Linked DNA regions of Schizosaccharomyces pombe. Changing the gene in region 1 together with any one later gene gives a genetic interaction. Each region holds a gene or a part of one and is shown on either strand. Other genes may lie near its edges. The genes, in order: atp12, trm82 and SPOM_SPAC25B8.11.

Evidence for each region.
Region 2: mutations in atp12 (region 1) and trm82 together harm fitness less than expected from each alone (positive genetic interaction), as found in Schizosaccharomyces pombe (one large-scale study listed by BioGRID).
Region 3: mutations in atp12 (region 1) and SPOM_SPAC25B8.11 together harm fitness more than expected from each alone (negative genetic interaction), as found in Schizosaccharomyces pombe (one large-scale study listed by BioGRID).

What each region holds. Positions count from the first base shown.
Region 1 is NC_003424.3:1,484,345-1,491,938, forward strand, and holds atp12 (F1-ATPase chaperone Atp12), read right to left. Parts: upstream 3,847-7,594; 5' UTR 3,712-3,846; coding exon 2,943-3,711; exon of another isoform or gene 2,894-2,942; coding exon 2,787-2,893; 3' UTR 2,519-2,786; downstream 1-2,518. Other genes in the region: plasma membrane thiamine/proton high affinity transmembrane transporter Thi9, read left to right, coding at 1-265; SPOM_SPAC9.11 (uncharacterized protein), read left to right, coding at 1,474-1,543, 1,602-2,518; cwf16 (splicing factor), read right to left, coding at 4,426-5,238; gpp74 (golgi phosphoprotein 3), read right to left, coding at 6,397-7,410. UniProt on the Schizosaccharomyces pombe protein: Essential for the assembly of the mitochondrial F1-F0 complex.
Region 2 is NC_003421.2:1,976,506-1,984,594, reverse strand, and holds trm82 (tRNA (guanine-N7-)-methyltransferase subunit Trm82), read right to left. Parts: upstream 6,075-8,089; 5' UTR 5,701-6,074; coding exon 5,021-5,700; intron 4,948-5,020; coding exon 4,362-4,947; 3' UTR 4,230-4,361; downstream 1-4,229. Other genes in the region: dph7 (WD repeat-containing protein), read right to left, coding at 1-469, 954-1,001, 1,048-1,223; SPOM_SPCC18.20 (uncharacterized protein), read right to left, coding at 1,876-2,094; rpp0 (60S ribosomal protein uL10), read left to right, coding at 2,704-3,489, 3,814-3,966; rRNA processing protein Utp23, read left to right, coding at 6,294-6,381, 6,494-6,583, 6,768-7,372.
Region 3 is NC_003424.3:4,170,644-4,179,188, reverse strand, and holds SPOM_SPAC25B8.11 (transcription factor), read right to left. Parts: upstream 5,515-8,545; 5' UTR 5,131-5,514; coding exon 3,681-5,130; intron 3,635-3,680; coding exon 3,120-3,634; 3' UTR 2,811-3,119; downstream 1-2,810. Other genes in the region: SPOM_SPAC25B8.12C (nucleotide-sugar phosphatase), read left to right, coding at 1,257-2,168; SPOM_SPAC25B8.10 (trans-aconitate 3-methyltransferase), read right to left, coding at 6,243-7,013; SPOM_SPAC25B8.09 (trans-aconitate 3-methyltransferase), read right to left, coding at 7,720-8,475.

The DNA.
Region 1 (7,594 bases):
CCGTTGGTCTTTGGGTTGGTTAAGTAAGCCTTGTTTGGTCATTACATTGGTTTACAACTTGTTTGCTCTTGTTGTTAATGTTTCTCCTTATACTTATCCCGTTACAGGTCCTTCTTTCAATTATGCCGTTGTCATTATGGGTGGTGTTTCCATCTTCGCCATTATCTGTACGATTGTAATTCCCAAATCCAGATGGGTCGCAAATAGATATCGCTATGAATCGGATTCTGAACATAGTGCTAGCGTTAAAGAACTCAAGGTATGAGAGGTTCAACTGTTTCAATTTATTATTTCGTTTGGGGTTTTGGTTTATTTAATTTTCAGCTTTTTATTCAGAAATTCTATCGTCATTCTATTTTCTTTTTCCTTTATGTTATACGATAATATATTGAATAAAAGCATTTTCATTCATACTTATACACGTAAAATATCTTTAATTATGTAGTACTGTTCGCCTTGCGCTGCAATAATAATAAATTAAGATATGCTAATTTGTTAAATAAATAGACATGATTTTATTAAAATGCATACACATTCTAATCAAGTCCGGACTAGTACTGAACTATTTAATTATATCTAATAAATGTTGGAATTGAAATGTATTATTGTTTTTTAGGAAAAAATTAATAAAAAATGCTCCTGGTGAGGCTCGAACTCACGACCTTCCCCTGTGTCATAATATGAGAGGGATGCTACCACCGACTGAGCTACAGAAGCTTGTTGAACACCACTAGGAAATATGAATTAATGTAGCTCTTAAAATATGATTTTAACAACTACTGAAATTTGATATTTGTTGTAACTATGAATACCAAAAATACATCTTTAAAAGCAATGTAGTGAATGGTATTGATTAAATGTGTTTTACTGATAGAATGAATACTTAAAAGAGTCTCATATGCGCACTCTCTCAAGCATTGATACAAACTCCTCATGAATTTAGATTTTAACCTACGACTATTTGCACTTCATACTGCATCCAAAATATTTGCACTGGATAGAGGTTGTATGTTGTTAGCCTGGACTGAAGGCATATTATTCAAATTTCCTCAACTTGGTGATATTGAATATGTCTTTTTGGATTATTCTAATTTATGTAATTCTAACTTTGATAGATGACTATAAGTGAAATTAATAAAAAATTAACAGTACATTATATGACCATTATTTTTAATGTCAATAACATATAGTAATATGCATAAGTATATAAAAGTTGTACACGACTTATCGACATAAAGAGAGTTGCTTAGTTCCACTAATCGCACCTTATAAACAAATTGAATCTTTACTCGAATAAACAAGCTAAAGTTGTGAAAAGCGAAGTGAACTTTTCACTGTTTCAAGATAATCACGTTGACCTACTTTAGGAAGTTTTTAAATACACTAAGAATTGCAGATTTTCCTAGTTGGTACTTTTGTGTTTTTTGTCAAATCCTTATGACACTTGTTCAACCTTTTTTCTTTATTATATAAATGGATTCTGCTAACAAAAATACAAAAATATTTGCTGAGCAATTGGGTAATGACTTTACAATTTCAGTTGGTATGTAATGCCGTGTGTTTTTAATGGAAGATTAATAAGTTAATAAAATAAAATACAGATGATGAAGATATGGAAATGGAGTATCCGTTGCGTTCCTCTACGCCCACAAAAGTAATAGACGACCAACGAGAAATCTTGCTTCAGAAAGCATCGCGAATCTCTAAATTAGACGAAGCGCTTTGCGAGCTTAATAATGAATCTAATGGCTCAATAGATTTATCTATTGACAGCTTCATACCATCTTACGATGAATTCTTGCATAAAAAACTACTAAACGAGGATACTGGTCATGAAAGCAAAGTATCAGACCAAGTTAAGCAAGTCATCAGCACTCCTATGAGCACCTGCTTTGAGCAGTGGTTCGAAGGAGAAGAACAATCGTCTACGGGGAACAATCAAGATATATCCTACTCTAGCGTCAACTCTCTATCTCCAAAAAGACGAGGCATCTCTCTTATGTCCATTGATGCTAACAAATTGAGTCCTAAAAAAACTTCCCCAAATTCTGGATACATAACATCTCCTTTAAGGCATCCGATTTTACTTTCCGAAACAGAACCTGGAACCCCAACAAAAAATGATTCACCTGCTTATATCGGATTACCTTCACAACCCAATAGTATAACTACTTTGAATAACACTAACCAGAAATTCCAAGTTCCTGATAATGACAAACCACCTATGTCTTCATTAAATGAACTATCTGCATCCTACAAGCCTATCGTATTCGACTCTTCGCAGCATAAAACTCAAGGCACTGACAATAATGACTCTTTTTACCACGACGATACAAATTGCATTCATCTTTCACGTTTAGAAAAGATTCGGGAGCTTCTCACATTCGTACAGTTGGAACTTAAATATTATGTAGAACCTCTTAAGAAAGAATTACAAGAGACAAAGACTCTATTGGCTCAAAAGGAAGAAGAGATATCTAACCTAAAAGATAAATTACAAAATGCAGGATTATCTTAATTTATTCATTTACATTGATTCATGAATTAATTTTGGGTACCTTGTCAAAACAATTTGGTCTGAAGGATAACTGACATAATAGCTCAGCATATTCGACATGAGGAAACTAATTTAGAATTCTCTGTTCAACGACGGCAACATTACTCTATAATTCTAATTTGGCAATGTGCAGTGTTTTAAGTAAACAGTTGTAGGGTTCTCTTAATTGAGTTCACCCAGAGGGAGCTATTCCAAAAATTTTGTAATTTTTTGAGTTTGCGTATAGCCGTTAGTGGGCATGTTCATTACTTTTGTCATGCATGTCTTCTATGCACCGTGAGAGTATTGCCGAGCTGGCCAACTTATTCTTAAGATCCTCATTGTCTATTTCGTGAGCTGCAGTTGTAAGTATTTAACATTAGAATAATAGAGAGTTTATACATACCATCTTCCAAAGAGCCCCATCGATTTGTTTGGTACTGAAGTTCTAAGTTCGTCAAAGCGGCAGCTTTTTCAGAGTTCAAATATCCTTTTAAAATCATGAAAGAAACTATGAAGCTCTTGCAGCAACTAACAGATCTTTCAAAAGCTGCTAGTTGCCAAGAGTTCAGCGAGCTGAGCCAGTTTCTTATGCGTTCGTGTGTTTCCTGCGTTTGTTTATGGGCAATAATACCAGCATCACCATCCAAATAGCTTAATTGCACACCAAGTTTGTTTTCAAAGGTTTCTTTCAGTGGCCACCAATTTTCCTTTTGCTCCTCCAACAATTTCCCTTCATATTCTGTTTCGGGGGAGTAAATTAGAATTGTGTCGGTGTCAAGGAAACGAATTAATTGAGTAGAAAGTAGTTCCTTTTCTTCTTTTTTGAATTGTGATATGTCAATAGCTCTCGAAACTAGGGAAGTAATTGGGAGATTGTGTTGTCGAACAGAGGTTGATGGTAATCGATCCCATTCTAGGGCAATCAAGTGTGCTAGTAACTCCATTTCTTTAGGTACCTTAACAATCTTCCCAGAAGGTGATTTTAAATTTCGTCCATCTAATTGAATCAAGACTTCTCCATTTTGGATTTTGGTAGCTGTATTCTTCCAAAATCTCCTGAATGATGGTTGCGGCAAAGGAGAGGAAGCTTTTGTAGAGTAAAACGAATAGCACGTTTTAAATGACAGCAAGTTTTTGCTGGATAATCTGTAAAATTGTAAAGATCGAAGCATCTTACAAAAATAGAAAAAAAAGGGTATTCAAGGTGTCTATCTGAGACACTAAAAAATCTTTCGTACTTCAAACTGCCAAAATTTAATTTTTAATTATTGTTTAAGAGTTAATTATTATGATATACGTTTTTAGTTGGTGTTCTCCAAAATATTGGTTACTATGTAAGATGAGTCTAACAATATTTTGTCACAGGCATGATGAGAATAAGTTTTAATATTTTTTTCTAAAAGTAGTTTTTAATTAAGCAAGAAAAAACTCTTTTAAAATAAATTAATAGACGTTCCTATCATAGTTCCTAAACCGTTGTTTACGTTAGCCGCCTTGAATTTAGCTACGATTAAGACTACTTTTTGACAAACCGTAAATGTAAATTGATAAATTACAATTAGATACTCGGAAAATTAGAAGGAACCTTAAAAAAAATCAATTAACATGTGCTGTTAAAAACTTAAAGTTGAAGAATAGATACAAACAAAATAAAACCTTTCTATAAATGCTACGGTATTATTCTACATAACAAACTACATTTACTAATCGAATAATAAAAATTAGAACAGGATATTGACTATCAACTCGCGTTATGAAAATCCATCAAAAACTCATTAAATATTATTACAATAAAAACCTTGCGCTGGTACAAAAGAACATGTACATTTTTAATAGCTTAGCTATAAAAAATGCAAGTAATTAAAAAATTTAGCCATTTATAGACGTTATACCAAAACCTTTTTCTTCTCCATTTTCCTTTTTGCATATTTTGGAGGCTGAAAATTCGGTATATTGGAAGTGGCCAGCTTCTCAGAAACCAAATCTATAGGTTTGGGTAATTCTTTTTCAACCGTTGTTTCTGCATTCAATCTTCTTATAATTTCACCATCCTGAGACGAAAACAACGATTTAGCTTCACGATCAATTTCTTCTTCCTCAAATTTCCGCTTTTTGGACTCCTCTTCTTCAATTGATCCATATGCATCTTCCTTTAAGAGAGCGATTGCATCATCAATGTTAACTCGAGACCTTCGAGCGCTCTTTTCACGTAGTTCGTCGAGTGCATCACTAATTTGCATTTGTCGTTTAGTGTCTAATGTTTTTTGTTCTAATTTTTCCATTTCGTCCTCCTCAGGAATGTCATTGCGTTCAGCTAACTCATTTTCTTCATATTCTTGTAATCTTTTTTCATGCCACGGCTCATAATTCCTGGAAGCTCCACTCTCTGCTGCATAATCTGCATGTTTTGGATCGGTTATAAATGTTATTTCAGCAGCACACCTAGTGCAGCGAATATAAAACCTCAATATATCAATTGAAAAATATTTTTCGCCGGTTTTCTCCTTCCTAGCGTTAAACTTTTTTCCTTTATATATATACTCTCCACAAGTATGACAGCGCATTGAAAATGGAGTCATCAAACGAACAGTCAATTTCCCACCATTTGGTCCTTGAAACTTTTTCTTTTTCTTAGGAGGACGAATGGAAGGATCATAATCGGGCGGGATATACTTGTTAAGTACCTTTCGTTCAGACATTGTTGGAAACTATGAAAAAAAAATGAAATGAACGTACGAGAATTGCTTTACCAAATTCAAAAAAAAAGAATAAATTAAAGTAAGGAAAATTTAACCGTCCTTTTGGGTTGGAATTATTTGACTTTACAGATGAATTTGAAAATGCTAGTTTTATGTGGATATGCGCTTTTTGTAAGCGAATGGCAAAAGTACTAGTACTATCTGTAGTTCTTTGACACTCGATACGTCGCGGTAATAAATTGAATGCGCACATAGCACTACGTAAACATATTTAGTACCATCCTTATATTTCCTTATACAATACCTGAGCTGAGCTATCGAGACGTGAGCAAGCGTTGTTTGTCAATCTTACACCTTCCGGTGTTTTAAGAGTACTTTAGATTCCCTTATAAATTGTGTATTATTTAAATGCTTCTGATTAATTTTGACTGATCAGTCTCCATAGTACTTTACGCTTACAGCAATAGACAATTAATGGGGTTGTTGGCATTAATGGCAGGAATAGATGATTTATATGAACTTGGTTAAAAATCGCTGTATTTCAGCTTATGTTCGTCTTAGTAAAGTTGATAGCAATGATCATAAGAAAACACCTGCTATATTAATTTATCATATGTTCATTTAAGTAAAGCTTGTGGAAGAACCCAAGTTTAAAATGGTTTAAAAGATAACTGTATAGTAATTACACAATTGTCATTTTTCGTTAGTTTAATAACTAAAGCTTTGTGAAAAGAAAGACTGACTTATATGTACGTATGTAAATCATTAAAACGAGAAGAAAATAGCTAACGATGTCCGCAACTGAAAAGAATGAAAGCTGACCCGGGATATTCTGAACAAATCTTTTTTAGCAGACAATATCGAAATGGGATTGCCTCCATATCGAGATAAAGTGTTCAACTGGAGAGAGTATATGTGGAAATGGTACCACCAATTTAATGAAAATTCAACTAGATAATGAAGCACCGATTGTTCAAAGTACTATTCTTACAACAACGAACAATTTGATTGAATTGACTTCTTTTAAAATAATACTCCAATTAAAAACAAACAAATTAAGCCGACATTAGCGATATAGAAGTCGGTATACGTTTGTTCATTAGTCTGAGTTGGAAATAACATAACTCAAACAACACCAACGAGTGATATGCTTGGCTATCAAAGTAAAGAATCTAAATGAGTGAAAACTTGAAGAACAGCAGCGACTACCTCAATGAAAAGTAGTTGCTCTTCCTTCACAGAGGAAAGTTCTTCGGAAATTAGCTCAGGCAAGTTAGCGCCAACTGACGAAGAAGCATGAAGATCAAAAGGCCATTGCGAAAAGTCACAGAGAAGCTCGTCTACGCGAGAAAATGCTTTTTCACGATCTTCATAGTTTAAATTGTCAAGAGCGTTTTCAAGAACATTAGCAGCGTATGAGGAACAAGCAAGGGCAACAGTGCGAAGGCAACGAAAAGACAAATATTCTGGGAAAGAAGGTGAATTATCAATTTCAATTACTCGTGAAGTAAGAACAGAGACCACTCTTTTTTTAATGGAATCTTTAATGGAGGTATCGGCAATGGGATGAGTTGGCATGTCGAAAAGTAAGAAATTCTTCTTCTCATTTCTTAAAATCCCTTTGTCAACAAGGCCCTTTGCCAACCGTTCGCGTACTTGTCTTAATTGATATCCAATCTTCATCACATTCCACGTTTCACCACTCATCAAATCAATCCAAGAGGTTACAGACATGAGTTCGCTAGTATGTATCATTTTAATAGCTTCGTCTAAAAGAACCTCACCTGTAAGTTTTTCATCAACCAACTCCACTACACGATCCGCTAACGGAAAGCGTTTACGATTAACGTCTTTTTGCATACGCAACTTTCCACGAAATGCGAGCTCCATTAGAATACATCCCCGAAGAGAATAAGAAATGCTGTCATTCCAAAAAGAAAGATAACCTTGCTTGTCTTTTAGACCCAATAACAATACCTCCTCCATCAGTGTAAGCCTGGGTTGCTTTTCCCTTTCCGCGCCTTGTTCCAAATCCTTTGGATCAAAAGCGATTTTATGATCATCATCGTATCCCTCAAGATGACTTTTGGAATGAGAGACGCTCCTCATCTCTGGACGTTCTTCGTCCGAACTTGCGGCAGCAACCCTCCTTCGGGAAAGTCCACCTGACATTTCTTTGAATTTTATGCCTAAATACAAGAAATTTCTTGTTGTCTATATCAAATAATCAAGAAGATGAGAGAGATATGCAAAACGTTGAAAGCAAAAGTATGCAATACAGGAGTTTCGCTAAAGAAAGAAACGTTCAAACAAATGGGAAAACTTTTGATTAAAAATACCTTTTGCTTTTGTTTCC
Region 2 (8,089 bases), on another chromosome or scaffold:
ATCCAACGTATGCATAAAATCTCCATACTCGCCAGTAGCAATATAAGGACCAAAGGGGGCTCGAGAGAGGATGGAAACAACACCAGAATGATGAACTTGAATGTCCCTCCAAATACATGAATTGGGGATTCTTTGATCATAGCAAACAAGAGCAGCATCGTCACCTCCCGAATAAAGGAGGTTATTGTCTTGACGAGAATAATGACACGTCCAAGCTTCGTAATCGTGCTCTTTCCATTTGTTTTTAATGACACCAGAGTCGATATCGATGATAAGAACACTTCCGTTTGACATAGAGACCGCTAGCTCCTTTCCGCTGTCCGAGAAATCCAAAGACAGCATAAGGACGCTAGAATCGGCCACCTTGATACCACGTAAAAACATAAGTTCTGCTCGAAATTGATGGCGATAAAAAGAAACGTGGCCGGTGGAATGAGCTACAGCTAATACAGAAGCATCATGAGGAGACCTATAAGATGAATTAGTATCAAGTCGCGAGAAAAGAAAACCACGGGGTATAATCCATGAAGCGTCGAGCAACAACTGAGAATCAGGAGAAAGGCGAGGTTCAATGATGGAGTGAAAATACTAGAGAAAACGAAGAAAAGGTAAAAGGAGAGCGTTGTGGAATAATATGGGTATAATTACTCCCTTTTTCCGCGTTTAAAAAATCGACTACGGATTATTTACTTGCACCACTGATTAGAAACGCTTTCTTTTGAACACCGAAATAAACCTTCTTGACTAGCCTTCAAAACAAAGGTGTGAATAGCATGAGCTCAAGAAAGCGTATAGTCAAAAGGGGAAACCGTGGCTTGATACGAACTGTAGATTTACGACAGGATACTGTATTATTGACTAAATCACATGGTTGCGAAAAACCCTCATCATTTTACGCCAATCTTTTAATTCTTTTGATGAACTTCTGCTCGTTGACCGTTTTGGCAACTTACCATTTAAAATCTAAAATTGCATCGCAGTGCATGTCAAACACTCTTTTTCTAATCTAAATTAGTACTTTTTCAAGAATTTTTTGATCTAACATACAGTACATCTTCTTTGGTATCATAAAGCACCAATTTTCCATGTCGCAATTTTGTCGATTCATCTAACATATATGTCCCAACGACTAAAACATCCTCAAAGACTTGAGAGTATTTACAAACATCAGCAGGCCAATCCGTGTAATCTGTACTCTTTGGGATAATTCCAGTTTCACTCATTTCAATGCCAGTTAGTGGTACTATCAAGTTGGTAAATTCGCTTTGTCTGGGTTTACTAATGTATCAGATCGGTTACGCTTTTTAGAGAATCTCGTAATTATATTTGCCGCGTCACTATCCCAATGTTTGTGAGTTGGATTTTCTTCCGTTTGGTTAATTCAATAGCAAACCACAACGTACACGTATTCTTTTCGTTAAACAATAAAATGCAAAGTTCAGCGTGCTCTAGAATACGTTTAATTAATTAAATATAACGGCTTCTTTCAGATAAGTTGCTATGTAACTATAACGTATTCAAAGAAATTATTATCTTTAAAGATTGCTACTACGGTCGTTGGGATTTGTAGTAAAGGGTAATTAAATAAGGAAATTTTGTAGGCTGGCAAATGTACGGGTGATTGAACCTTAATGTATCAAGCGGTAAGGTGATTTGGGCTGTATTTATCTGTAGGTCATTGAACGAAAGCCCTTGAAGAAGAAAGAATTGGTCGGTTTTTATCAGAGTCTTTCGTTGCAAATTAAAGCTAGATGACTTAGGACAATTATTGAGCAAAATCCTTAACTTTCTTAATCATTTTTGAACAAGTTCAGAACTTTGTGGGTAGTCTCGCATCTATATAAGGTTACGTACGAATAGGAATAGATAATCTACTCAAGTGTTTTTGATGTTCAATAAATAAAGCGCTCGATTCAAATTCCAATTTTTGTTAATGTTTAGACATGACACCCGAATTGAAAGAGTTCGGTAGTCATTCATCAAGTTGGCAATCATGTTTCTTCGATAATAAACAATGAAATCAGAAACTAAAAAAATATCCATAGGTCTTGTTTTTTCAGTATCGGATTTTTTTCTATTCCAATATAAACTCATTGTCAATCATTTTCGTAGTATTTTACTTAAAACACATCTGTTGAATTTGTGAATTCACTAATCACTATCGCATGGAGGCTGAATTTTTCCTTTGACTCGAATGGTAAACGCTTCAGCAATATTTGAGATTTGTTCGTTTTATATTGAAGGATAAAAGTACTGCTCGATGCCACGAATTTTACGGTCTCATTTCAATAGCTGTATATGGTACGTTGCACTCAAGATTAGTCCCACATGCACTTTTGTGATGAGAGTAGTAAGTCTAAAAACTAAACATACACATTTCTCTTCTTCTTTTCTCTCCAACTGACTTTTGTGAATTGCATTATTTTATTCTTATATTAACTGCATTTGTATCTACGTTTACAACGATATTGTTTTACCGTTATACCATATATCTTAGAAATTGGCGATAAAAGTAAATGAACGAGCTTCCGCATTGTGTCACTATGTCTCTCGCAATTCTTTGATAAGGCACTACGGTTTGGTACCATAAGCCTCTCCACAACTCGATTGACAAGTCCAAAAAACAGTCACGGCGACAATATGTGAGTAGAAACATTTGGGTAAGAATTTATTTTCTTCACAAACCACCAAACCAGCAAAAAGATGGCAATTTCCAAGGAAAGCAAGGCTCAATACTTCGAGAAGCTCCGCTCTCTCTTCGAAAAATACAACTCTCTCTTTGTTGTTAACATCGACAATGTGTCTTCTCAACAAATGCATACTGTCCGTAAGCAGTTGCGTGGAACTGCTGAACTTATCATGGGTAAGAACACCATGATTCGTCGTGCTATGCGTGGTATCATCAACGATATGCCTGAGCTTGAGCGTCTTTTGCCTGTTGTTCGTGGTAACGTTGGTTTCGTCTTCACCAACGCTGATTTGAAGGAAGTCCGTGAGACCATTATTGCTAATGTTATTGCTGCTCCTGCTCGTCCTAACGCCATTGCTCCCTTGGATGTCTTTGTCCCTGCCGGTAACACTGGTATGGAACCCGGTAAGACCTCTTTCTTCCAAGCTCTTGGTATCCCCACCAAGATTACTCGTGGTACCATTGAAATTACTTCCGATGTCCATTTGGTCTCCAAGGATGCTAAAGTTGGTCCTTCCGAGGCTACTTTGCTTAACATGTTAAACATCTCTCCCTTCACCTATGGTATGGATGTTCTCACGATCTATGACCAAGGAAACGTCTTTAGTCCTGAGATTCTTGACGTCTCTGAGGAGGATCTTATCGGTCACCTCTTGTCTGCTGCCAGTATTATCACTGCCATTTCCTTGGGCGCTAACTACCCTACTATCTTATCCGTTATGCACTCTGTTGTCAACGCTTACAAGAACTTGGTCGCTGTCTCTTTGGCCACTGAGTACACCTTCGAGGGTACTGAACAGGTATGTCCTATAATATCAAATACTTCAAGGAGTTTTAAACCTTTTGTTATAAATAATGCCTTTTCTTTGAGGTTCAATGAAAAAATATATATTTTTGAACCTCCTTAATCTTTTCGATGCTTCTCCATCGGCAGATTTCGTTGAAGGAGCATTATATATGAAACAATTGTTTTGCAATGCGTTTTGATGAGGATTATTTTAACTCGCTAAATTTTCATGAGCGCAAAGTTTAAACACTCTAATTTTTTGCTGAACGCTTGTATACAATTAAACTCTTTGAATCATTAAATTATTTTTGTACTCAGTTCACTAACTTTATTTTAGACTAAGGCTTTCCTTGCTGATCCCTCTGCTTTCGTAGTCGCCGCTGCTCCTGCTGCTGCTGCTGGTGGTGAAGCTGAGGCACCCGCTGCCGAGGCTGCTGCTGAAGAGGAAGAGGAATCCGATGAGGACATGGGTTTCGGTCTCTTCGACTAAGCTTTTTTTGTTAGATAGCACTAATGGATGTATCTCGTGTTCTTTAGGCCTTCTAAAAACAATTTGCCGTTGCAAGTATTATGTAAAGTATTGTCGTAGCATGTAAATGGAAGGAATTGAATAAACGATTAATTTTACTTCTTCAAATTGCTGACGTTGCACAACTGAATAGCAGTTGCACTTATGCAGTAGATACAAGTTGCGTTTATTCGCATAATTATTAATCGCTGACTGTATTTATACTTCAAAATTCTGGGTTTCTCCAAAGAAATTAAATGCTCTCCCTATTATACTTTAATGTCACAATCATTTTTATTCATATCTATTTTCCATATTTACTGATGCTCCCACTTTTCCCAATTATTTTTTTTGAGCCGGTCTCCCTAAAATGAGCTTTAATTATCTTTAGATTCAACGGATGGCGAAGATGTACCGGTTTCAACACTGCGAATGAATTTAGAGTGGTTCTTGCGTAATGTGTGAATTTGAGCGAGCGGGCAGAACGGCTTTTCGGTTGATATTAAACCATCAGATTCTATACGCTTTATTACATCGGGTTTCGTAAGAACAGCCGCATTCCCTTCATCAAATTTCACGCATTCAAAACATGCACCAAATGTAAAACTAGAGTCCAAAGAAATGAGAATTTGATCAGTATCCGTGTCAAGCAAAACAGCGTCAAGAACAGGCCCTGACAGCTTCAAAGCAGAATGAAACAACAGTCTCTTTTCAGGTGTCACCTTCGCGAAGATAAGACCCGCCATTCCTTCACACGCAAAAGCAACAAGCTGGCGCTTAAAAATAGGAAGAATAACTGAAACCACCATTGGTTGATTTAATGAGAGATAAGTGGAAAAGGCAGATCGTAGATCGAATGCATCCAAACATTTGAAATTCTCTAAATCCCATACGAAAACGTGATTATCTCCACCGCCAGATATTAGAGTACGATTGTCATATAAGGACATCCTAGATACAAAACTAGGAAAAGGCGTTAGTGTTATTTAAAAAAAAAAAAAAAAAATTGATCAACTAAAACCAAATGAAAACTTACTCTTCATGACCTAAGCAAAACCCTTCAATGACAAATGCATTGGGAAATCGGGAAATACGAATATGCTCGTCTTTATCTGAAGTAATGATTATTTCTTCTTTAGAATTTTGTGGATTTTGAGCAACTATTAATTGAGTTAAGATCGAAACATGCCCCATAATGGGTTCGAGTTTTTGCAATTTCGAATCCTTTAAAGTGTCATTATTAACAGGTTCTTGTTTTCCTTCAACCACATTTGACTTTTTTTCTTCGGTAACTTCAGAAGTAGTAAACCAATTTTCGTCTACACAATAGACATCACCAAACTTATCACCAAAAACAATTTCGTTTGAGCCCGCAAAGCACAAGTCAGCACATCGCTTTGGTATGTTTTTTTGATAAAGAAGTTCAATTTTATCAGGCTGAGTGCTATCCCAAAGGCGCAAACATTTGTCTTCACTAACTGTTGCCATACGAGAATAGTCTTTAGAAAATGCGACTTGACGAATCGCTTCTCCATAGGCAGCTGCCTCTCTATGTTTTTCATTTATATTGTCTCTATAACAATGTTCAAAAATTTTTTCCCCTGTAGAGCATGAGAACCCCAATAGATATGGACCTGAACAGCACACGATGTAATTGTGTTTAGAATTCCATGTTAAAAATTGACAAGGGTGCTTAAAAACTCGCTGTTCACTCATGTTTTTATTGATTGATTCTTAAGAAAATAGAAGCAACAAAACAAACACTTCAGAAATAAACCTCTAATTTTTGGATCCGAATATATTTACAATTTTATAAAAAGAAGAAAAAGAAGCTTTAGAAGAAAGAAAGTAATAATGACAAATCTTTCAAATAATAAAAAGCAAAGCTTTAAAATTATTTACGCAGTAGAAATGAAGAAAAAGTATGATAAGGGTAAATAATAGACTGAATCCTCTTTCTGCTTAATACCGTTTCCTTACAAATTTATCTAAATAGAGAAATAAAAGAAGTATACACTCAGTTCGAAGCCAAGTATCTCACTTAAGTTAAATAGTTAAAGCGCCCAAAATTTTAGTACGTGGGTGAACTTGGAAAGTACAAACTAGTTGGAAATTTCCTAATAAGAGGATTTCAGCAATATTAGGGTTCCTGGATACTTCTTTTAATACGATTGAATTTATTTTTTTAATATTTCTAATAGTAACAAAAGACTTTTCGTTTTTGAGCGAAAAAAAAAATTCTTAAAAAAACAAGTGATCTAAAGCATATTAAGTCTTAGGCTGTGTGACGCACAGAAAAGGGCGTAAATATGAGGCAAAAAAGGGCAAAGAATTACAGAAAGCTGATGCATACGTATCAGCTTTTATTTGGATTTCGTGAACCATATCAAGTACTCGGTATGTGGTACAGAAAATGATGCTTGTAAAGATGCATCCTTACCCAAGTTCTAATTTGCAAACAATAAGCATTTTCTTTTTGGTGATGTTATTAAACTAACATGATTTTTAGTGGATGCAGATTTCCTAAAAGATTTATCTCAACAAAAGATTGATATACAAGCTGCATTAGCTAGGACTGTTCAAGGAGCTATAAAACCTAGTAAGTTTTGTTTATAAGTGTTTTCTTTTACTGGAAAAAAGGGCGAACCCCCGGAATATGAAACAGAACGGAAAGTTTAATTATTCAACATAGTATCTTTTCATCCGGGTCTGGTTTATTATTTTCTTTCCTTATGTTCTCCTTGTAAATTATTATAACTAACGGATTTACTAACTGACTATAGTGATTACTCAATGTTGTATTCGGCAATTGTACAGTAAATCCGATGAATTGAAGCAAGAAATTCGTATCGCAAAGTCTTTTGAGCGAAGGAGGTGTGGTCATATTGATGAAGCACTCTCTCCTTCAGAATGTATTCAGAGTGTAGTCAACATTAATGGTCGGAACAAGCACCGCTATGTTGTTGCTACCCAAGACCCCGAGCTTAGGCAAGCTCTTCGTTCGGTCCCAGGTGTTCCACTTATATATATGAAAAGGTCAGTTGTGATACTAGAACCAGCTTCACGAGCTACGTTATTAGAAAAGCACAACAAAGAATCCGTTCAGATGGGCATGTCAAAAGAGGAAAAGTTGTTATTATCCGGAAAAAAGCGTTCAGCGAATGAACTGGCTATCGATGATCAAGATACCAAGGAAAGTACGGATTTAGCGGGAACAGAGGATTCTGCTCCAAAAGCCAATAAAAAACGCAAGGGTCCTAAAGGGCCTAACCCTTTAAGCATCAAAAAGAGATCATCAAAAAACCATACAACGGATGAACCTACTTTACCTGTAAACATAATAGGTGATGTTGGTGAAAGAAAAAAACATCGTCGGAAAAGAAAGTAGACTGCTTATTGTTGGAAATTAGCATATGTATATATTTAAAAATAAAATTTTTCGGGATAGGTTTGCCTACAAGTGTTGTCTACTAATATAACGCTATCATACATACAATGTTTCTGATTCAACCCTTCCTGTGTAAACAATACTTTCAACTAACGCTTGTGGCTAAAGAAACGAAGAAAAAAAATTGGGTATAGGCACAATGTAAATATTTACGATGTAATCATCACAAATGTAAAGTTGTAAACCATTTTTCATCTAGATTCAAAGTCGTTTAAAGCGAAAGAGAAAAGGAAGCAATTATCCAAGCGACCTAAAAAAGCAGTTTCAACCAAATTTAGCTTAAAGAGAAAATTGAAATTTTTATTCGACTAAATAAAAGGTTAGATTATCTTAAAAAGATTTCAATCGTTGATATATTAGGGGAGAAACTGTAAGCCCAGTTGTGAATGCTAACGTATTTCAGTAAAAAAAATATCGCAGTTTACTGGCCTAAATACATACTTTGCTAACAGTTTTCTATTAACCCAACAGGACCTTAAATCTCTGCATTCTTTGTATTGAAAAGATCATACTGTTCGTGGATTTGCGCGTTTATGTAACGTTAAACTCGAATAATTTGCATTTGGCGGTCATTTTCGTTCTTGCGATTGATACAGATTCTGAGCTTTAACTAGCGCTTATTTGTATTACAACACCAAAGGAGCATAAATTGTTTTT
Region 3 (8,545 bases), 2.7 Mb from region 1:
CCCCGACTGCGACTGCGACCGTGACCCATTCTTAACTAACCCCTCGACAAAGCGGTTTGTTGAAAAGCATAGAGAAATAACGAAATCGATGAAATAGCAGTATGGGTATAATAACGATATGGATGTATAGAACTCACAAAAGACATCTACGATACATATTGTTATTTACCATATTTCAAATTACATGTTCTAACATACATACTCGTTAATTACCTCTACGGTACTATTGGATCAATAACGTTGTCATTCGATATCACACTTTCCACACTGAAAGAAACTACTGCAGTAAGTCTCTTTTAGCTTTGCAAAAACGTTCTTGCCAGATCCTCAACCTTGTCTGTGTTTATTGCTTACGGTTGGCCAGCGTTTCGGTAAGTTGGAAAATCTTCTTTTGTTACGCACGAGCGTTTTCGCTATCGCTATTCGGAATTTGAATCACTATCGTGACGTTGCTACGCGATAGCCGACCACTAAAGTGTGTACTGATTAAAGCTGCATGATTTTTTGCTCATGTAAACAAACACGTCAAAAAACCTTGTTTCTCGTTGTTACTAACATTCGGAATGTTGGACCAACTTCAACATACCAGCACATTCCTTCCTTAACACAAAGAGAATTTAAATGCTAGTGTTTGCATTGTGGCTTGCTTGTTAGACTACGCTATCAGCTATTTAACCCTACTGCGATACAACACCTTGTTTGATCTTGCCTTCAGTGATGCGCTGCTGCTTCTCTCTCCTTCCTTTCCTAACTGCGTCTGCTCAAGTAGGCGGTGATGTCAGGGTACAAGGGTACATCTCGGAAAAATTTTTCATCTGCAGATATCAACGCGAGTACTTCGGGAAAACTTTAACTGACGTCAGTGATGTCGGAAAATCTTCGGCTCTTGTCAAGGATGGCTCTTGGCCGAGAATATAAATTCGACAGGCGTCCCTTGTGTATACATTCTTTCCTGTACAAAACACAGTGTGTGGATTTGTAGGATCAGTATAGTGTATTGTTTGTTGGTGTTTGTTAAACGTCTAACAAAACTTTGATTGGAATTTTTTACTTGGTATATATACCGGAAATCGAATTGGATTGGTAAAAAGCAAAAACAAAAACAAAAACGGTTTGTTGATTTTTTTCGCCTTTTTACTTTATTAGATATATATTTTTCTTTTCTTGCCCTTTTTTCCCCCCAATAAACCCCACGTAGATTTATTTGTCTTTTTCTTTTTCTTTTTTTTTTTTTTTTTAAATAAACATTTTTAAAGATGAGCGCTGTTGACAAGACTAACAATTTGCCCACCCTTGACACACTTCAAATGGTCATTTCCGATGTCGATGGTACACTTTTGGATAAGCATCATCGTTTCCACTTCCGCACTTATCGTGCTATGAAGTACATCCGTGAAAAATACCCCAATTTCCCCATTGTTTTGGCTACCGGCAAGCAACGCTCTGCCGTCGATCTCATTCGTATCCCCTTGGATTTGGATGCCTTCCCTGCCGCCCACGTTAACGGTTGTGTCTTGTACAACAAGGGAAAGATCGTTTATGCCGATCACTTGAAGCCTGAGGTCGTTATGGAGGTTGTTGAGGCCACCAAGGGTAACCCCAACATCGCCAACGTTGTTTATGATGAGCACTACGTCTACGCTTTGACTCCTGGTCGTGAGGACATGAAGAATGTCAAGCGTTTGGCTGAAATTGGTGAAAAGGTCGATTTCTCTATGCCTTGTGAAGAAGCCATTGAGAAGGTCAAGTCTGGCGAAATCAAGGTTATCAAGATGGCTGTCTGTGAAGATCCCGATAAGCTTGACGTCGTCCGTGACATTCTTGGTAAATTCCCCAGAGAGAAATTTGCTACTACTCAAGCTTTGGAGTTCTGTATCGAGTTGATTCCTTCCAACAGCAACAAGGGTACTGCTCTTCAGTACATCACCTCTAACATCCTCCCTGAAGTTAAGAATGAAAATGTCATCTCCTTTGGTGATGGTCAAAACGACTTGTCTATGTTTGCCATTGCTGGTTGGTCTGTTGCCATCAAGAATGGTATGCCCATTGCTATTGAGAAGGCCAAAGCTGTTTCTCGTGTTGGTAACGAGGAAGGTGCTGTAGGTGAGGTTCTTGAGCGTATCTTCAACATTCCCGAGGACTACACTCCTCCTCCCTACACTTTTTAAATTTTTACGGGATAATTGTCTTCTTTACATGAATTTGCGTCCTCAACAATCACTTTGACGTTTTTCCATTTTTTGACATTTTGTGGAGTGCTGTATTTCCGGACGTATTGCATTCGTTTACACTCATCTATATAAATCTTTATTTAGTATGTTTTTTATTTTTTCTCCCTATTAGTTACAATTCTGTCTCTTTCCTTTAATGTTTGCTTCTTTATTATAAGGGGTTACTTGGAATGAGATGTCACATATATATACCCGTTAATTCCTTTCCCCTTTCATAACTGTTTGTTTTATAGACCCTAGATTCGATCCTCTACACTGTGAACAATACATCCAACTCGTACGTCGTTGTTGAAGCAACAGCGGCGATACTTGTGTTTTATTCTCATTATTTGTATTAATTGACTCTTTCTTTTTCTTTATTTGTTTTGTTAGAGGCTTGCTTTTGTCATTATTTCATTTACTCGGTATGTTAAATAGCATTTATGGACGTTGTTTGATGTATATTATATTGTTTTGTCATTGATGCCTATCGTTAGCAAATGAATATAACTTTAGTCAATCTAAAAACTTCGTATCGTAAGCTTCGTGTATAAAGTTATAGACTACTTAAATAAACCATGCAGCAAAAGTCCATTAAGTTTCGGTTCTATCATGACTCAAAATTATAAATGTATTATTATTCAAAATGTCATAAGAGATGCCAGGCATTCTTTGACCAGCACTATAAACTTTAAAATAAAATAAAATAATCACAAGATAAAGAAGAAACGTTTAACATCCAATAGCATAGTTCAATATTTTGTATGTATATATATGTTTGTGAATGACAGACAACAAAGTGATCTTTAGCATTTTCACCAATTCAGATGTACATTAATTACAGATCTCTTTGAAGAAGTAAACCTAAGTATTTAGCCAATGTAGTTAGTGTGTGAGAGACAAATTTCTTTAATCGGACTTGGGAAACGTCCATGAATGAGGATTCCATGGATCAAACAGCTGCTCTGGTACGTGATTATAAGCTTCTTCGCCTCGCGAATCATTAGAATTAAATATATCGTCTCGAAGAGCCAATAAATGCGGATGGTCCTTGCCCAGCTCCTTTAACAAAGAAGACGATCGCCTAATTGCCATTTCAACAAAGTCAAAACCTGCCTCATGCAACGTGATACAGTGCCGCACAAACGCATCCAAAAGTGAGAAAGCTCTAGCTCCGTATGTATTGTTTGTATGGAAATCTAAATGCAAGCGAATTAAAAGCGAAACAAGTGTTGAAAAATGGAATCCTGCGTAAGGCCAGAAAAAGTCTCCCGAAGAGTTGGCTGTGATTTGTACAAAATTCGAAACAGATTTTTCTACGCAAACGAATAAGTCATCTGCAGACTGAAAATCGGGTAAGTTGAACCTCAATGCCGTCTTCCACAACAATATTTCAACAGCATCAAACTGGATTTTTAATGAGGCTGAATAAAACAATTAGTAAAGTGTAAAGAGGAAAAAAAAACTTACCAACTCCGAGCGCAGGCTCTGTAAATTCTACAGGACGGATACTGTTTAATCTGGTAAAAAAGCCAATGATCTGGTAACTAATAGAACGATTGTTTTTTGAATGACGGGTTAATGCACGGACAGTAAATAAGTCTTGTAATATATCCTGTAAAAGAGAACTAAGCTCTATCATTTTAAGAAATGTTTTAAAGGAATGTGACGATGTGATTTCCAGAGGCAATGATTCATCAGATTCTATTTTTGGGACGACAAAATCATCTTCATGAATGTTCGTAGCTAACCCAAAATACATTGAATACCATTTATCAGCAATAAAAATAGCCCACCAAATGCGTTTACGGATGGTTTTCTCTTCATTGGGTATCTTCCATTCCGTGCAATCATGATTAAAACCCAACAACTGCGAAAGGACAGTCGTACGGGAAAGGATACTGGAAAGACTGTACATATTATGTAAAGGACGACTAATTAAATACAAGAGAGCAGCTTGTATCGTGCTAAGTCGTGGTTGTGTAAAATGAAAATTCAACCCTTCCTCGACAATGGTCCACATTTTCCGTTGATCTAGTGGTGGCGCTCCAAACGATCGAGAATCAGAAGGCCAGTAGGTAAGAGCTACGGAATAAAGTGCGGCAAGTAAAATAGACGGTACATTTCGAGAACCGTTTTTATATGATAATAAAAACCTAGGTCCATGAAGAATAGGATAAGAAGGATGCACATGACTAAAGTACAAATTAACTAAAGTGCGGCCAGTTGCCTCATCAATGTATGTTGATAATAGATCGTGCAAAGCATGATCATATCGAGAAAAATCACTATGACGGTCATTCTCATACGCAGGATCCAGGATATACATTACAGGTGATTTGGAGCTAGTAGAAACGTACTTAACAGTCATATTATCGAAAGAGCAAACACCGTTTTCAAACGAAAAATACTCACGAATAAGATCGATGTCTGAATCACAGGTTGGCCCCAACACATAAGGATAGTTCAAAGAATCGTCAAGTCCAAGTTTGTCAAATTTATCATCTGAAGTATGATACATTTCAGTAATGCCTGCTAGATTTAATGGAACTTGACGACCATCAGGTCCACGAGCATCTGACCCTTGCGTAGGTGAAATCACTTTTCCTCTTACAGCATCCAAATTATTGCCTAAGGCATTGTACTTTGGATCACGATCGTCGTTAGTCGTTGTTGTTGCTTCTGATGGTGTGTCATCTGAAACAGAATCCTGTTGCTTTTTTTGTTTGTTGCGCTTTATAGGAGGAAGATGGTAGGTGCATGGAATTTTCAACTGCGTGCATAATAAGCAGGGATTTCCAATTGACTCTACCACACACCTGCTTTTCCGCAATCGACAATTGTCACAAGGTCTAGTTTTCCTTGAGCGATAAGGCCGTTCTGTGCCATTGTTTGAAGGCGTTAAAATCAAATTAGACATTAATAATAATAGGAAACAGGCCAATTATATCGGTCTCTTTTTCTTTTCTTCAATCAAGCTTATAAGGGGTTTATATGGCCTCTACCTGATTTTGTGTAAAATGGGAATAATAGCAAATGAATGCTTAAAGCCAAATGAAACCTTCGAGCAAACTAACGTATAACAACCCACTCAAAAACACACATATGGTTAAGAAGATATCAAAAGATGGTACCGGGTGAATACCAAGGGATAGCAAATAAATGCCAAAATGCGAATGAGAATACTTAACTTCTATAACTCGATGATAATTGCAAGAACATACGACTAATTAAATGCGACTTATAAGCAAATAAAATTCAATTTCAAAACTGACAATTGAGACTGTTTAAACGCAGAATAGTACAATGATGGATAAGGCTAAGTCCAAATATAGTACAAGTTTATCTTTGATATGGAACTTCTATAATGATGTACTAAGTAGAGCGCCGCAACACTACGCAACTCATTATTCAAAAAAGTACAAACAAATACGTGAAGCTAAAGAAGTTTAGAGACCAAGAAGTAAATGTTTTCCATTTCTTTCGTACAATTGTTTAGGAAAAAAAAAGAATAAAATTATTTATGCTTAAACTTTTTAGTGGAAGTGATAATCGCAATTTTAGTCATACTCACGAGCCCTAATTTTGCGATCACTTGTATCATATAAGATGATAATTTTCGTTCAAAAATTTATATATTAGCTGCATATGATAAGCGAAGCTATGTTAAGAATTGAGTTCTCGTTTAAACATTTTTGCTAATCTTCACTGAATAAAGTGTGGATGAAACGTATAAAGGTGAATCTAGCAATAGTAGTGATTGTTGGAAAATATTCTTTCAATACGCGAAACAAAATTCTTAACAAAGAGGTTAGCTGCGATAAAATTGACAGCATAAGAATTCCTCGTAACAAACAACAAAACAAAAGAAAGAAGAAAAAAAATGAGAATATAACATACGCATAAAAGTATCCATAAAGCCTATGTTCCTCATCATAGATGGCAAGTGCAAAATGTTTGCGCCGCGTCGAAGGTTTCATCACTCACAGTGTATTACTTCTACGCATAAGAGTATCGCTTGAAAAAAATTCATCACTTGGCAGGCTCTTTCTCGCTACTAAAAGCCATCGTTTGGTAACAAAGCTTAATTTGGTCGGTGTTTTGGACACGGGGAATAGTTTTAGCAATTTCATCAAGTTCAGCATGCACTTTCTCCTTCTCTTCTTCCGGAAGCTTATAAATAAAGGAGAACGAATTCATTAAAGTATGTAATTCCTCGACTGTAAGACACCTCGAGAAAGGAAATGCACAGTACCTAAGTTTACCAAATCCATGACCAGGAAATAGTTCGGCCCATTTCCAACTAACAAAGCTAGGTGCGTCCTTTCGGTACCTCCCCAAAATTTTACTAACCTTTTCAATCCAAGGCACAGTGTCATCGCGAGTGTTCCAAACAAGACCCAATTTCCCATTAGGCTTTAAAACGCGGTAAATCTCCTTCATTGCCTCTTCATTTGCAAACCAGTGGAAGCATTGTGCACAAAGAACCAAATCAACACTTTCATCCTCAAGAGGAATAGCCATAGCTGAGCCTGCACGACAATCAACATTTGGGAATTTCTTTCTCAATACATCGAGCATCTCGGGGTATACGTCAACAGCAATAATTTCCTTAGGATGAGACGCGATGATCCTTGGTGTAAACTTGCCAGTTCCAGCACCCAGCTCTAAAATGATGGAAGTCTCATCAATTAAGAATTCATCAGTAATCCAGTCGGTTATTCCTATAGGATATTCAGGCCTCGCAGCCTCATAGTCAGCAACATCAGTTTTAAATGTTTTCAAGTCAATTTGTTCAGCCATCTTTTTATACTTAACGATTGTTGTTCACTAGAGTAGAGGTGGTTAAAAACAATGATACGACCGGTTGATAATTTGAGCTTAAACGCTGCGGTATTGTGTTGTATTGTAGTGAATATACCACTAAGACTATTCTGGATTCAAATGGACAATTGGTTGATGAGTTCGCCTCGGAGATAGCAAATTCTTGAAATTATTACCTTTTATGTTTGCATTAAATGAAACTTTGATTTGATTTAATAGGAAATTGGCTGACCATCACAGGCAGACAAACAACTCTCAACAAAAATGCTGAATTCAAAGTTTTTGCATTTACTACCTTTCCTTGTAATGGTGGGATTACGACTAAAAATTGAAACTGGCTAAAAAAAATTCGTTTCTATATTATTTTCTCAATCCATCTGTTAGGCTAGTGAGACAAAAAAGGAGAAGTCTTAATGATGTAGTTAATTATAGAAAGAGGGTAAAAAAAAAGAAAAAACAATCTAAGCAAAGCCGATTGAGAGTGTCATCAATGATATGTATCTCCCAAAAAAGTATTGATGAAATAACGTGAAACAATCTTATTAAATATCATTCATAAAGCTCATAATTCCTTGTCAACAAAGGTAAAGGTGCAAAAGAATCGCTACAATGAAACTATACCACGTAGAGTGTATTACCACTACTCACCACAATGAACAGTGCTCTGTAAAGTCAAAAAGGCTGATCAGTTGATGGGCACCTTTTCAGAGCTATAAGCCACTGTTAGAATATTGAAGTCTACTTGGTCAGTATTTTGCGCGCGAGGGATTGTTTTGATAATTTCATCGAGTTCTGCATGCATTTTCTCCTTCTCTTCTACTGGTAGTCTATTAATAGAAGAAAAGGAATTCATTAATCTGTGCAAATCTTCGATAGAATATTTTTTCGCAGAAGTGAATAAGGATTGCTTCAGTTCAGTAAATCCATAGCCAGGAAAAAGTTCAGCTGCCTTTTCAAACATGTTAAGTGGACCTCCCCGACATTTTTCTAAAAGCTGACTACACTTTTCAACCCATGGTACACTGTTATCACGAATGTTCCAAATAAGAGCAAGTTTCCCGTTAGGCTTCAAGACGCGGTAAATCTCCTTCAATGCCTCTTCATTTGCAAACCAGTGGAAGCATTGCCCACAAGCAACCAAATCAACGCTTTCATCCTCGAGGGGAATAGCCATAGCTGAACCCACACGACAATCAACATTTGGGAATTTCTTTTTTAAAACATCAAGCATCTCTACGTATGTATCGACAGCGATAATTTCCTTAGGTTGAGACGCTATAATTCTTGGCGTAAGCTTACCACTACCTGCGCCAAGCTCTAAAATAGTAGAAGTCTCATTAACACTGAATTCATCATTTAACCATTCCGTTATTTGTGGTGGATAATCGGGTCTTGCGGTTTCGTAATCAGCAATATCAGTTTTAAATGTTCTCCCAATCATTACAATTATCGATTCTCAATTTTCAAATAAAGAGTGTAAAATCAGATATGAATATAAATTTAGGTGTTGT